Linked DNA regions of Callithrix jacchus. The protein of the gene in region 2 interacts with the protein of the main gene of each other region in a pairwise test. Links are inferred from orthologs where the notes say so. Each region holds a gene or a part of one and is shown on either strand. Other genes may lie near its edges.

Region 1 (4,043 bases), on a different chromosome or scaffold from region 2:
CAGACCACGCTGAAGGTCAGCTCTGTGCATGGAGCAGTCCTGGCCACCGGCTTGGCTCTAGGGCAAGGTGCCCTGCACGGCTGGATGGCCTCTGGAAAGGAATGTGATCCCACAGGGCGGGGACTTGGAAGGCAAGATTCAAAGATTCCTTCGGGGCTCTTCCCTGGTGCAGACTGCAGACTCTGAAAGGCATGCAGGAGTCGTAGAATGTGGGGTGGCAGGGAGGGCAGGGTTTGGGAAGTATTTTGGTATGTCGCCTGGGGGTGGGGACCAGGATGCCTCGAGTTCCTTTGGAGAAAAGTGAGCCTGGGCATTGCACTCCTTAGACGGGAGGCCACTGTTTCATTCACAGCACTGAGAGAGGCAGAGGCTTGGGGATCACTCTCATCACATGCAGAGGCCACTTAACTGGGAGAGAGAGGTCCAAGTGGGTGAAAGCAGCTCAGATTCTGTCCCTCAGTCCACAGAAGGGCTCAGGGCTAGAATCTCATCGCAGGACCCCAGCACCACCACCTCCTCCTGCTTCCCAAAACCCTTTAAGGCAGCACTGACCGCTTGAGAACTGCCTTTGGGAGAAGCGTTCAAACCTCAACTGTCCCCTCCAAGGGGCTGTCCCAAAGTCAGCAAGCCACAGCAGATTCTCCTCCTCCCTCCTACACAAAACCACAGTCCCAGGGGAGGCAGAGCAGAGCCACACCGCCCCAGCGAAGGGACTGGGTAAAAGTTTCATTGTGTTTTGCTATGACACTTAAGAAGACAAGGAGGGAAGGGTTGATGTGCCTGAACCAAGTGCATCCAGTCTGCGGGAAGGAGGTGAAGACCAAGAAAGAGAGCGCAGGAATGGTTCAGTCCTGGTTCTGAGGGGAGTGGGGCTGGGATTTGTGGGAGGGCTTGGTGGTTAACCTGGAAGATTCTGGGGAAGACAGAAGCTGGGGGAGCTGGCAACGCCCACTCCTAAACCCCAGATGGGTTTTCTCTGGGAAGCGGCAGGGCCCTTGGGCCAGGGAGTGGTCACTGAGGGTCTCACTGGGGCCTCGTAGACAAAGAACGGCGGGGGTGACAGCCACGGCAGGGTCCGGCTCTGAGTGAGGGCTGGCCCGGGCCGCGCCCCACCCCCCTGGAGTGATGGGTGGGTACCTGTTGAGGAAAGCGTTGCCGAAGGCGTTGAGCTTGCGGAAGGGGCGCCGCGGGTCCACCACGAGCGCGTTACCCGGCACCACGCCCTCGGTGGGGCCGTGCATGACGGCGATGAAGGAGTCGGTGGTGGGCTCGGGCCCGATGCGCATCCCCGGGAAGTCCTGCTCGATCAGGTGCCGGATGAAGGTGGTCTTGCCAGTGCTGTACTGGCCCACCAGGAGCACCATGGGCTTGTTGTCGAAGTCAGCGTCCTCCAGCGCGGGCGAGTGGAACTCGTGGAAGCGGTAGTGCTCCTCCAGGGGCAGCAGCTTCTGCGCGTACAGCTGCCGCAGCCCCTCGGCCACCGTCTGGAAGAGCTCCGGCTCCTTCTTGCGGCGGGCATCCTTGCTGACCCAGCTGAACATGCTGCCGGACACGGGGCTGGCTGCTGCAGGGCAGAGCAGCGGCTGAGAGCCGGGAGAGGGCGCAGAGCCAAGGCGGGGCCGGCCGGGACAGGGGGCGGGGAGCGACCCACACTGGGCAGGCGCACAACCGCCGAGGCGCCCTCTGCCGAGTGGAGCGCGCCCCTTGCGGAGCGGCCTTTATAGGATCGGTCCCTAAGTGGCCACGGGAGCCGCCGCGGCGAGGGCGGGGCGGAATTGGGAGAGTTAGGGAGGAACCCCTCTGGCCCCGCCCCTTAGCCTCGTGCCACGTCCTCCCCTCCCCTGCCTCCCATTGGTTTATTCCGAATCTCGCGAGACCGTGGTTCGGGTGCCGTGGCAACCGCACCTGTTTCGCCCTGCCCCTCGTGGGGGAGGCTCGTGGAGGTGCTGTGGTTGGGAAGGCCGGGAGTAGACGGCGTCCGGCGCGAGAAGGTCTCTGGCCTGCGCACCTTCCGGTACCGTGGACACCCACACCCCGAGGGATGGCTCCACGAGACACCCAGTCAGGCATTCCGGTTCCCTGACTATGCGCCTCGCCCGCCGTTCCCCACGTGCCCGTCCTCCTCCCGCTGACTCAGAATCCCCCGAGGCATCGCAGGACCCCCGGGCCGCCGCACCACCTCCTCTCAGCCCCGCTTCTCAGACACACACTGTCTTTGTCCCCTCATCTTTTATCTGTTTTGGGAGAGGGAGAAACAGGATAGAGGTAGCAGAGCAAGCTGAGGGAGTAGAGAATCCCGGGCGGGGTGGTGACAGAGGAAAGAAAAATGGGCAGGGAGAAGGGGGCACACGGGCAAACTGACCGGCAGCGTGAGGCCTGACCTCCCCTCGGGCCGACGTGGTGGGAGTGGGAGAGGGACACAAGCTGGGGAGGACATGCGTGACTCCGGACGCGCGCGGGAGAAGAGAAGGCTTCACTACAGAGGTGACAGCTGGGGCAAAACAGGAGGCCATAAGGAGGAAGTTGAGGCCCTCTGACCACTTGCATTTAGGGAAGTGAAATCGGAAATTCCCTATGTGGTGAAGAGGGGGAGTTTGGGGGCAACAATGAAATTTTGTGGGAACTTAGGGGAAAATTTAAAAACCCAAATACTTCCGCTTTCCCCCCGGGGTCACCACCATTTACCATCTTTTACTGAACCTGTGCCCTACCTCCCCTTACCAGTTCCTGGCTGTCCCATGGGGCTCACTCCCCTGCCATCCTCCCCGGCCACACGCAGACCCTTTCGGCTGGCCAGACTGGTGAGAATCTTCAGTGGGTGATGTCAGAGCTTTGGGGGCTGATTGTTATGTAACTGTAGGTATCAAGACTCCAAGGTTGGGGAGCAGGACCCTGAGGGCTCTTGAAGAGATCTGAATTGAACCTGCAACCTTGAAAGCCTCGGGTCCAACTTTCTGGCTTCTGGGAGATGTGGAAGCCTGGAGAGCTAGGGGCCTATATCGGAATAACTCAGGCTGGTAGGCTAAGAGGAAGTGGCAGGAATTCCAATCTGAGAACGGGATATTTCAGGGGAGCTGAGTCGGATGGAATCTGGAGAGGACATGATGGGAGGTTTGTTCACCCACTTCTTGTAAGATCCCTTCCCAGGGAATAGATAATGTTAGTTCCCTTGCCCTGCCCTCTCCCTAACCATTGGAGAGCAGATAAGTAACCCCAGCTCCTCCTGCAATCTTAGGCCCCAATTTACTGCTTTTATTTGATTTGAGATTCAAATTAGCATTCTTTTCATCATAGTAAAGCACAAAAGCTACTGAGGCTGCGTGCCAACTGGTGATGAGGAGCCTCCGGCAGGCCCGGTCCACACTTCCTGAGTCAGCCTTAGAAGCCAGAGGGTTTGCCTCCTACTCAGCACTATTAGGGATCCACCCCGGAGATGCAGTTTCTGGGCTGATCTCGGGAAGGGCCTAGGGCCGAGGATCCTGAATGAAGTAGTTGTTCAGTGGTCTGAATGAGGCTGCTCCAAAGTGGCGCGCCGGCAGCATCACATTGAGGGACGTTTTTCACATCTCCCCAGAGCCCTGTGTGCTGGGAAAACCCAGCCCCAGAAGACTGAAAACAACAAAATGTTCCCGGGTTATTTATAAACGAATCCTAGACCCTGTTATTCTGTGTGGCCACTTGACTGTCTCCAAAGAGCTTAAAGGACTGAAGAAGGGATCTCTGCCACCCTGGTGAGGCTCAAGTGGCCTGGAATTAGTTCCCCCAATTTCATGGAGTTTTCAGGCAGCTTCCAGGCAGCTTCCTTATCTTGTCATGCTCCAGACTGAAAATGTCGCAATATTTTTTTCTTTTGTGTTTTCTGAGTAAGGCAGTTTGGTGGGAAAGTTTCCTAAAATGTGAATGAACCATTTCACATGTGGTTTCTCTGCTGTTTCACTTTCTGCCTGTCTGCCTGAGTTCAGGGCAGATTGATGGAGGGTTCAAGTATTTTCCTTTTATCTCAGAAACGGCGTCACCCCCACGCCAGTGTTTTATTCTTCAGT
Region 2 (3,500 bases):
CTCTGTTAATAAATAAATAAATAAATAGTGTATAGCATGTGGAGATGCTGATCAAAGGATACAAAATTTCAGTCGGGAGGAATAAGTCAAGAGATCTGTTGTTAAAGGGGTGATTTATAGTTTTTTGTTTGTTTTTCTGAGACAGAGTCTTCCTCTGTCACCCAGGCAGGAGTGCACTGCTGCGATCTTGGCTCACTTCAAATTCTGCCTCCGGGTTCAACTCTTGTGCCTCAGCCTCCTGAGTAGCTGGGACCACAGGCGTGTACCACCATGCCTGGCTAATTTTTGTATTTTAAGTAGAGATGGGGCTTCACTACATTAGTCAGGCTGGTCTCAGAACTCCTGGCCTCAAGTTATCCATGCTCCTCGGCCTCCAAAAGTGCTGGGATTACAGGTGTGAGTCACCATGCCCAGCCTGATTATAGTTAATAAAAATAAGGCCGGGTGCAGTGGCTCACACCTATAATCCCAGCACTTTGGGAGGCCGAGGCAGGTGGATCATGAGGTCAAGAGATTGAGACCATCCTGGTTAACATGGTGAAACCCCGTCTCTACTAAAAATACAAAAAAATTAGCTGGGCATGGTGGCACATGCCTGTAGTCCCAGCTACTCAGGAGGCTGAGGCAGGAGAATTGCCTGAACCCAGGAGGTGGAGGTTGCGGTGAGCCAAGATCGCGCCATTGCACTCCAGCCTGGGTAACAAGAGTGAAACTCTGTCTCAAAAATAAAATAAAATAAAAATATCTTGTGGGCTGGGTGCAGTGGCTCACACCTGTAATCCCAGCACTTTGGGAGGCTGACGTGGGTAGAGCACGAGGTCAAGAGATTGAGACCATCCTGGCTAACATGGTGAAACCCTTGTCTCTACTAAAAATATAAAAATTAGCTGGGCATGGTGGCTCATGCCTGTAGTCCCAGCTACTCAGGAGGCTGAGGCAGGAGAATTGCTTGAACCTGGGAGGCAGAGGTTGCAGTGAGCCAAGATCACACCACTGCACTCCAACCTGGTAGCAGAGCGTCTCAAAAAAAGAAAAAAATCTTGTATTCTTAAAAATCAGTGAGAGTAGATTTTGTGATGTCACCACAAAAAGTGATAAGTATATGATATAATGCATATGTTAATTAGCTAGTTTAGCCATTCCCTAGTGTATAAATATTTCAAAAAATCATGTTGTGCATGGTGAATATATGCAGTTTTTATTTGGCAATTAAAATTTTTTTAAAAAGCATGGCATGTGACAAAATCTGTTATAGTACAATCTCTAAATGAATAAGTGATCACTGGGATGAGGATGTGCACTGAGTGCCAGGATGTTTGAGGGCAATATGTTTCTGGATCAGGTGAGACTGAGCTGGAAATATTTCAGGTATTCTCAGACAGTAAGCTATTGGGTTCTATTTGTGTTGCAGAGGTTTGTCCCAGGTCTTGGCTGCTGGACTGAGGAAGGTATCAGTTTAACTAGCTCCCACAAGGGAATCTATCATTTTTTTGACCATTTTGAGAACTGTCTTTATCCTTCAGAAAAGCCATATTGTATCAGATTTACAACATATAAAACAATAAGATAATTCAGAAAATTTTAAATTGCCCATGATGTTATCACCCTGTTTATTTAACATTAGCATGAGAGTCAGGTAAGACTTTATAAATTTTAACTTATTTAATCATCGTAACAACTCTGTGAAGTAGATACCATTATTACTGTATTTGACAGTTGAGTACTCTTGAGTTACAGAGAAGTTAAGTAACTTGTCCAAGGTTACACAGCGTGTGGCAGAATTGAAACTTTAGCACAGGCTGACTCCAGCATGCATGCTGTTATCTACTCTACTCTAAAGTCTCTCATATGGTATTTGGTGGCCTCAAGGTCATGGTTAACATTTTAGCAGATTTTCTTCCATTTGCTATCCTGGCTTTTGAATTTTTGGTAAGACTATAAAATCTTAGAGTTTTTACTTGTTTTTTATTTTTATTTTTTTCCCTGAGATTGGTCTCACTCTGTCACCCAGGCTGGCGTACACTGGTGGGATCATAGCTCCAACACCTAGGCTCAAGCCATCTTCCTGCTTTGGTCTCCCGAGGAGCTGGGATTATAGGCGTACATGCCCATACCTGGCTAATATTTTTTTTTTTTTTGAGAGAGACGGGGTCTCACTATGTTGACCAGCCTGCTTTTGAAATTCATTGATGATAGCAACAAGGTAGAGAGGCTGCCTCAGAGAAATTGTAAGTCATTTGTCTCCCCATTTCCTTCCCTCTAGGTGCTGTGAGAAGCCATCTTTCTGAATTCAAAAAACACCGAGCTGCTAGAATTGACCACTATGTTGTGGAAGTCAATAAATTAATAATCAGGTTAGAGAAGGTAAATTTTGTAGTCTTAAAACATTTTTTTCTGTAAATACACATTTTCTGGGGAAAAATAATCACATTTCTATAGCATGTGTTGTAGATGTCATATACATCTGATGCTGCCAGAGAAACCCCTTCTCTAGAGAGTTGCAGAGGACCTGGTGTACAGTTCTAGCCTGGGCCAGCTTTCCTTAACAGAATGACCCAGGCTGACAGACTTGCCACATGCTCAGCTTCCCTTTCACCACCTATAAATCCCACTCAGATGCTGGAAAACCTTTCTTCCTTCAGATTCTTCTTTTGAGTGTCCCGGGCACAATCACCTAGTGAAGTGTGGGGTGTGATCGCAAACAAAGGAGTGGTGACCAGGTCTCAGTGGTGTATTTTGATCCTAGATATGCTTGTTGTGTGTAACCTGGATTTTGAGCTGGGCATAGTAGCAACCACAAGTACAGTTCTTTATGTGTACTTTGTAAGGCAGAAATAAGTGGCCAGTTTTAGGGTCTAGGAGCACTGTGGAGAATGGAGAGTTTTCCATTGCTTTTAATTGCTGCCCCTACCCATCCTTGCCTAGCCCTGGTTATTGCTAAAATTGGTAACTGACAATAAAGAGATTAGAAGTGGGTCACAGGAAGGGAGGTGGCTTCTAGATGCAAAACTGATATTCTGTCCCACGTGAAATTGTTTTTGTGATTTTGTGGAGTTGGGGATGACAGATGAGATTTGAGAAATCCAAATGTGCCAATTCCTACTCGAGGTATTGGAAAGTGTGGAGCATGTATACATCACCTGGTTAATTTCACTTGGCACTATTTTCTCTTGGTCAGCTCACTGCATTTGACAGAACAAATACTGAGTCTGCAAAGATTAGAGGTAACTTTAAAACTTTGCTCACATTCTTCTTATCCTTTATCTTTTTTCCCTGACCAAATCTCTCTTTAAAATGGCTTTTTTGTTGGTTTGCTCTTCCCAAAGCAATAGAAAAGTCTGTGGTGCCTTGGGTCAACGACCAGGATGTCCCTTTCTGTCCAGACTGTGGGAATAAGTTCAGCATCCGGAACCGCCGCCACCATTGTCGCCTCTGTGGGTCTATTATGTGCAAGAAGTGTATGGAGCTCATCAGCCTTCCCTTGGCAAGTAGGTGACCTG
Region 3 (4,144 bases), on a different chromosome or scaffold from region 2:
AGAGCCAACAGGCCCTTCACCTCCAGATCTTGAACACCTTCAGAAATTACTTGGCTTCTTGGGTGCGGTGGCTCATACCTGTAATCCCAGCACTTTGGGATGCTGAGGTGGGCAGATCATGGGGTCAGGAGTTGGAGATCAGCCTGACCAACATGGTGAAACCCTGTCTCTACTAAAGATACAAAAAATTAGCCAGGCATGGTGGTGGGCACCAGTGATCCCAGCTACTTGGGAGGCTGAGGCAGGAGAATCGCTTGAACCCGGGAGGCAGAGGTTGCAGTGAGCTGTGATCGCGCCACTGCACTCCAGCCTGGGCAACAGGAGAAGATTGTTTAAAAAAAAAAGAGGCCGGGCGCGGTGGCTCAAGCCTGTAATCCCAGCACTTTGGGAGACCAAGGCGGATGGATCACGAGGTCAAGAGATCGAGACCATCCAGGTCAACATGGTGAAACCCCGTCTCTACTAAAGATACAAAAAATTAGCTGGGCATGGTGGCGCGTGCCTGTAATCCCAGCTACTCAGGAGGCTGAGGCAGGAGAATTGCCTGAACCCAGGAGGCGGAGGTTGCGGTGAGCCGAGGTTGCGCCATTGCACTCCAGCCTGGGAAACAAGAGCAAAACCCTGCCTCAAAAAAAAAAAAGAAATCACTTGGTCTCTCAAAGCTGCTGAGCCCTAGGCTGTGCACTCCACAAGGACAAACTCAATGTGGTGTTGTGTTGAGACGTGACCTATCGTCATGGTGCTACTTCCAGAAGGCTTGCATTACAAGGTTGATGTTAGAGAAAATTAGCACCTAGACAGTTAGTAACTAGACTGTTAACTTTTCTGCTCTTCTCACCAAACAAAGCACAGCATTTTGCATGTTGCAGACTCTCAAAGAACCAATGAATAGGAACAAGAGTACCCCTGCTTTCCAAGTCCTCTGCAGATGAGCATGCTTGACTTTGAGGGGCCACCAAACTCCATTCTCAGGCTGTGGGTGCCTGACTCTTAAGACAGAGGGCCACAGCACTCTCAATAGTTTGGAATGGCTGTAAAAGAGGCCAAGAAAAATGGCTGGTCTTGAAGGTTGGGAGGATTGAGGACCAGAGAGAAGCCTGTTCTCTAAAGATAGGAAGGATTCTCATTACTCTTGCAGACCTCTCTGAATGCAGGGCGAACAAATTGACTTCTTGAGGCTCCCTCCAGCCCAAGGATTCTGTAATTTAAGGGAATGGATGACTCACTCTCAGAGTTACAGGCGTTGAGCCAACCAACTCCTCACATGCATCTGGGACTTGCATCCCAGGTCTGCTGCCCACTCTTTCTACTGCTCTGAACAATTCATTTAACTTCCCTGTGCCTCAGTTATCTCACCTGCAAAGTCAGGAACTAGATGAGACAATGCCAATATCCCTTCCACCTCTAAGAGACTTTAATATTATTATTGAGTCATTAAGAGCAAATAAGAGAAAGGAAAAAGACAGCATTCTGCTTCTGGACTCTGCTTCTGTTGCGTTTCCAAGATACACACATAGAAGCTCTGCTTTAGAGAAGAAAATGATAAAAGGAGGACAGGTAGCATCCCCGGGCCACCTCCGTTCCCAGGCCTGCTCCCGTCAGAGCTCAGCTGCAACCGTGAGGCCCCCATGTGAGTGCCAAGTCCCTTGAAAAGAAAGGGAAGAGGTTTTGCCGGTGAATAACATGTCCCTAAAAAGTGAAGACGTGAGATATCCCCATCAACATAAGGTGCTCCAGAGACCAGGAGCTCCCCCACGGTGCCTCCTGGGCCTCGGTTTCATCATCCATAAGATGGGGAGACCAGAAATGGCTTTACACTCTAGTACCTCAGGTTGACCACTAGAGCCCAAGGGTCAAGTACAGTGGACAGGCATTGGATAAGTTGGGGAGAGAGACCAACAAAAATTGTGGGGTAAGCTTTTGACGCCTTCACAAACACATCTCTTCAGAGCCCTCAACTGAAGTCTTCCCATTGGTCCCCTGGCAGGGGTGGAGCACTAGGAGTGACCGGAGGGACTAGGCACTGGACACTGACCGGGGTGGGCTGCCGGACCCTGGGCCTGCTCACCTGATGAAGGTGGTCTTCCCCGTGGAGTACTGGCCCACCAGCAGAACCATGGGCTTGTTGTCGAAGTCGGCATCCTCCAGGGCGGGCGAGTGGAATTCGTGGAAGCGGTAATGCTCTTCCAAGGGCAGCAGCTTGCTCTTGTAGAGTTTCTTGAGCCCCTCGCTCACCGTCTGGAAGACCTCAGGGTCCTTCCTCCGGCGGTCGTCAGTACCCAGCCAGCTGAACATCGCGGCCGCCGCTCGCCCGCGGCACGCAGCCCTAGGGGAAGGCTCCTCCTCAGGGGAAGATGCCTCTCAAGGCCGGTCGGCCGGGCTCTGAGCCGCCCCGCCGTCTCACCCAAGCGCCGGGCTCAGCCGCACCATGGCCCGGGCACGCGGCTAGCGGGGCTGGGAGTGCACTCTTTCACTGTTCCTGGGACCAAGCCCAGCCACTGCTGCGTCCAGCAGCCCAGGCGGGAGGGAGGATAAATTATCTGGGCTGGAGGAGGAGTGGGTGCAGTCTTGGAAATTAAAGTCGAACCTGCAAGGAAACTGCCAGATGACGGGGTCCGAAGCCGGGGTTCCCGATCGGCCCCCAGCCCTCGCCTGCTCTGCTCTGCGTGCAGCAAGGGGTGCTTTGGCTCCGCTCCTGCAGGACTGAGGCGGCTCAGGGGAGGCGGCGACGCTGCCCAGCCCGCGGACAGCTCCGCATCCGCAGCAGCATCCTGCAGCCCCAGGCGCTGGTTTAAATGCCAGCTGGGCAGGAAGCCGGCGCGCAGAGGAAGTCCACGAGTACTGGCAAGGCCGCTCTGGCCCCACGGTCCAGGCGACGGGAAGCAGCTCAGGGCGCCGCCATGTTTGTGGGCAGGCGCTCCGCTCCAGACCTGCGTCCGCGCCTGGTGAGGGATGCTGACCCAGTCCAGTGGGAGAGCGCCCGGGTCTCAGTCCCCGCCTCTGGGGCTTCGATTTGGGAACAGCGCCCTCTCAGGGACGGCTGCGAAGACTGAGTTGACCTAGTCATCACCCTCCCTGCTTTGAATCCCCTCTCCTTCAGTTGCTGATGCTGATGCCAATTCCCTAGGAAAACAGGTACTCTAGTATTTGCGGATTTTTTTTGGGGGGAGGCATGGAAAGAAGGATCCACTATCAGGTTACACAAAATAAACAGAACTGTCACTACCCAAACTTTTAACTAAGCCTAGTGTGAAGTCCAAATCGTTCCCATTTATTTATTCATTTATCCCAGCAAAACGAAACAAGCCAGCAAGCAAAATCCCTGCAAGTATTGGGTATTTATTTATTTATTTTTTTTTTGAGATGGAGTTTCGCTCCTCTTACCCAGGTTGGAGTGCAATGGCGTGATCTCGGCTCACCGCAACCTCCGCCTCCTGGGTTCAGGCAATTCTCCTGCCTCAGCCTCCTAAGTAGCTGGGATTACAGGCACGCGCCACCGTGCCCAGCTAATTTTTTGTATTTTTAGTAGAGACGGGGTTTCACCATGCTGACCAGGATGGTCTCAATCTCTTGACCTCGTGATCCACCCGCCTCGGCCTCCCAAATTGCTGGGATTACAGGCGTGAGCCACCGCGCCCGGCCCGTATTGGGCATTTATTATAGGGCAGATACAATTTTGGAGACTGTGGATACAGAGATGAGTGCTGGGCAGACTCTCTTCTGGGAATTCCAGTGAAGGCAGACTTTAAAGAGGAGGCATGAGCAGAGGGCCATGGGAACACAGGGAGGAGTCACTCCTTTTTTGTGGCTGATTTAAGGAAGGCTTCACAGAAAGCATGACTGTAAGCTGGATCCTAAATTATGAATTGACATTCATTATTCTAGAAGAGTAAGGAGCATTTGCAAAGGCTTGAGGAATATGGGAGAACTTGGTGTGTCCAAGTCAGAGCAAACAGTTTGGCGTAGCTGGAGTGTAGGGTTTAGGAAGGTGGAAGAGAGTGAGGGAGGTCAAGCCTGAAAGGCTTTGCTGGAGATGGGAAACCAGTAACAATACTTACTAATCATTGTTACATCAACAAAATGCTCAGCATGTGTAGGGCTAAGTTCTTAGTGAACATTGTTTTATTTAACCTTCATGGCAGAT

Evidence for each region. The genes of interacting proteins can lie anywhere in the genome.
Region 1: the proteins of RBSN (region 2) and EHD1 interact in binary tests that used the Homo sapiens proteins (3 or more experiments, as listed by UniProt). The link is inferred for Callithrix jacchus from reciprocal best matches to the Homo sapiens genes RBSN and EHD1.
Region 3: the proteins of RBSN (region 2) and EHD3 interact in binary tests that used the Homo sapiens proteins (3 or more experiments, as listed by UniProt). The link is inferred for Callithrix jacchus from reciprocal best matches to the Homo sapiens genes RBSN and EHD3.

What each region holds. Positions count from the first base shown.
Region 1 is NC_133511.1:121,949,503-121,953,545, forward strand, and holds the start of EHD1 (EH domain-containing protein 1), read right to left. Parts: upstream 2,801-4,043; 5' UTR 2,741-2,800; coding exon 2,722-2,740; intron 2,492-2,721; coding exon 2,363-2,491; intron 1,565-2,362; coding exon 1,138-1,564; intron 1-1,137. UniProt on the Homo sapiens protein: ATP- and membrane-binding protein that controls membrane reorganization/tubulation upon ATP hydrolysis. In vitro causes vesiculation of endocytic membranes. Acts in early endocytic membrane fusion and membrane trafficking of recycling endosomes.
Region 2 is NC_133516.1:72,070,009-72,073,508, reverse strand, and holds part of RBSN (rabenosyn-5), read left to right. Parts: intron 1-2,263; coding exon 2,264-2,364; intron 2,365-3,178; coding exon 3,179-3,224; intron 3,225-3,326; coding exon 3,327-3,488; intron 3,489-3,500. UniProt on the Homo sapiens protein: Rab4/Rab5 effector protein acting in early endocytic membrane fusion and membrane trafficking of recycling endosomes. Required for endosome fusion either homotypically or with clathrin coated vesicles.
Region 3 is NC_133515.1:84,254,451-84,258,594, reverse strand, and holds the start of EHD3 (EH domain-containing protein 3), read right to left. Parts: upstream 2,801-4,144; 5' UTR 2,296-2,800; coding exon 2,069-2,295; intron 1-2,068. UniProt on the Homo sapiens protein: ATP- and membrane-binding protein that controls membrane reorganization/tubulation upon ATP hydrolysis. In vitro causes tubulation of endocytic membranes. Binding to phosphatidic acid induces its membrane tubulation activity.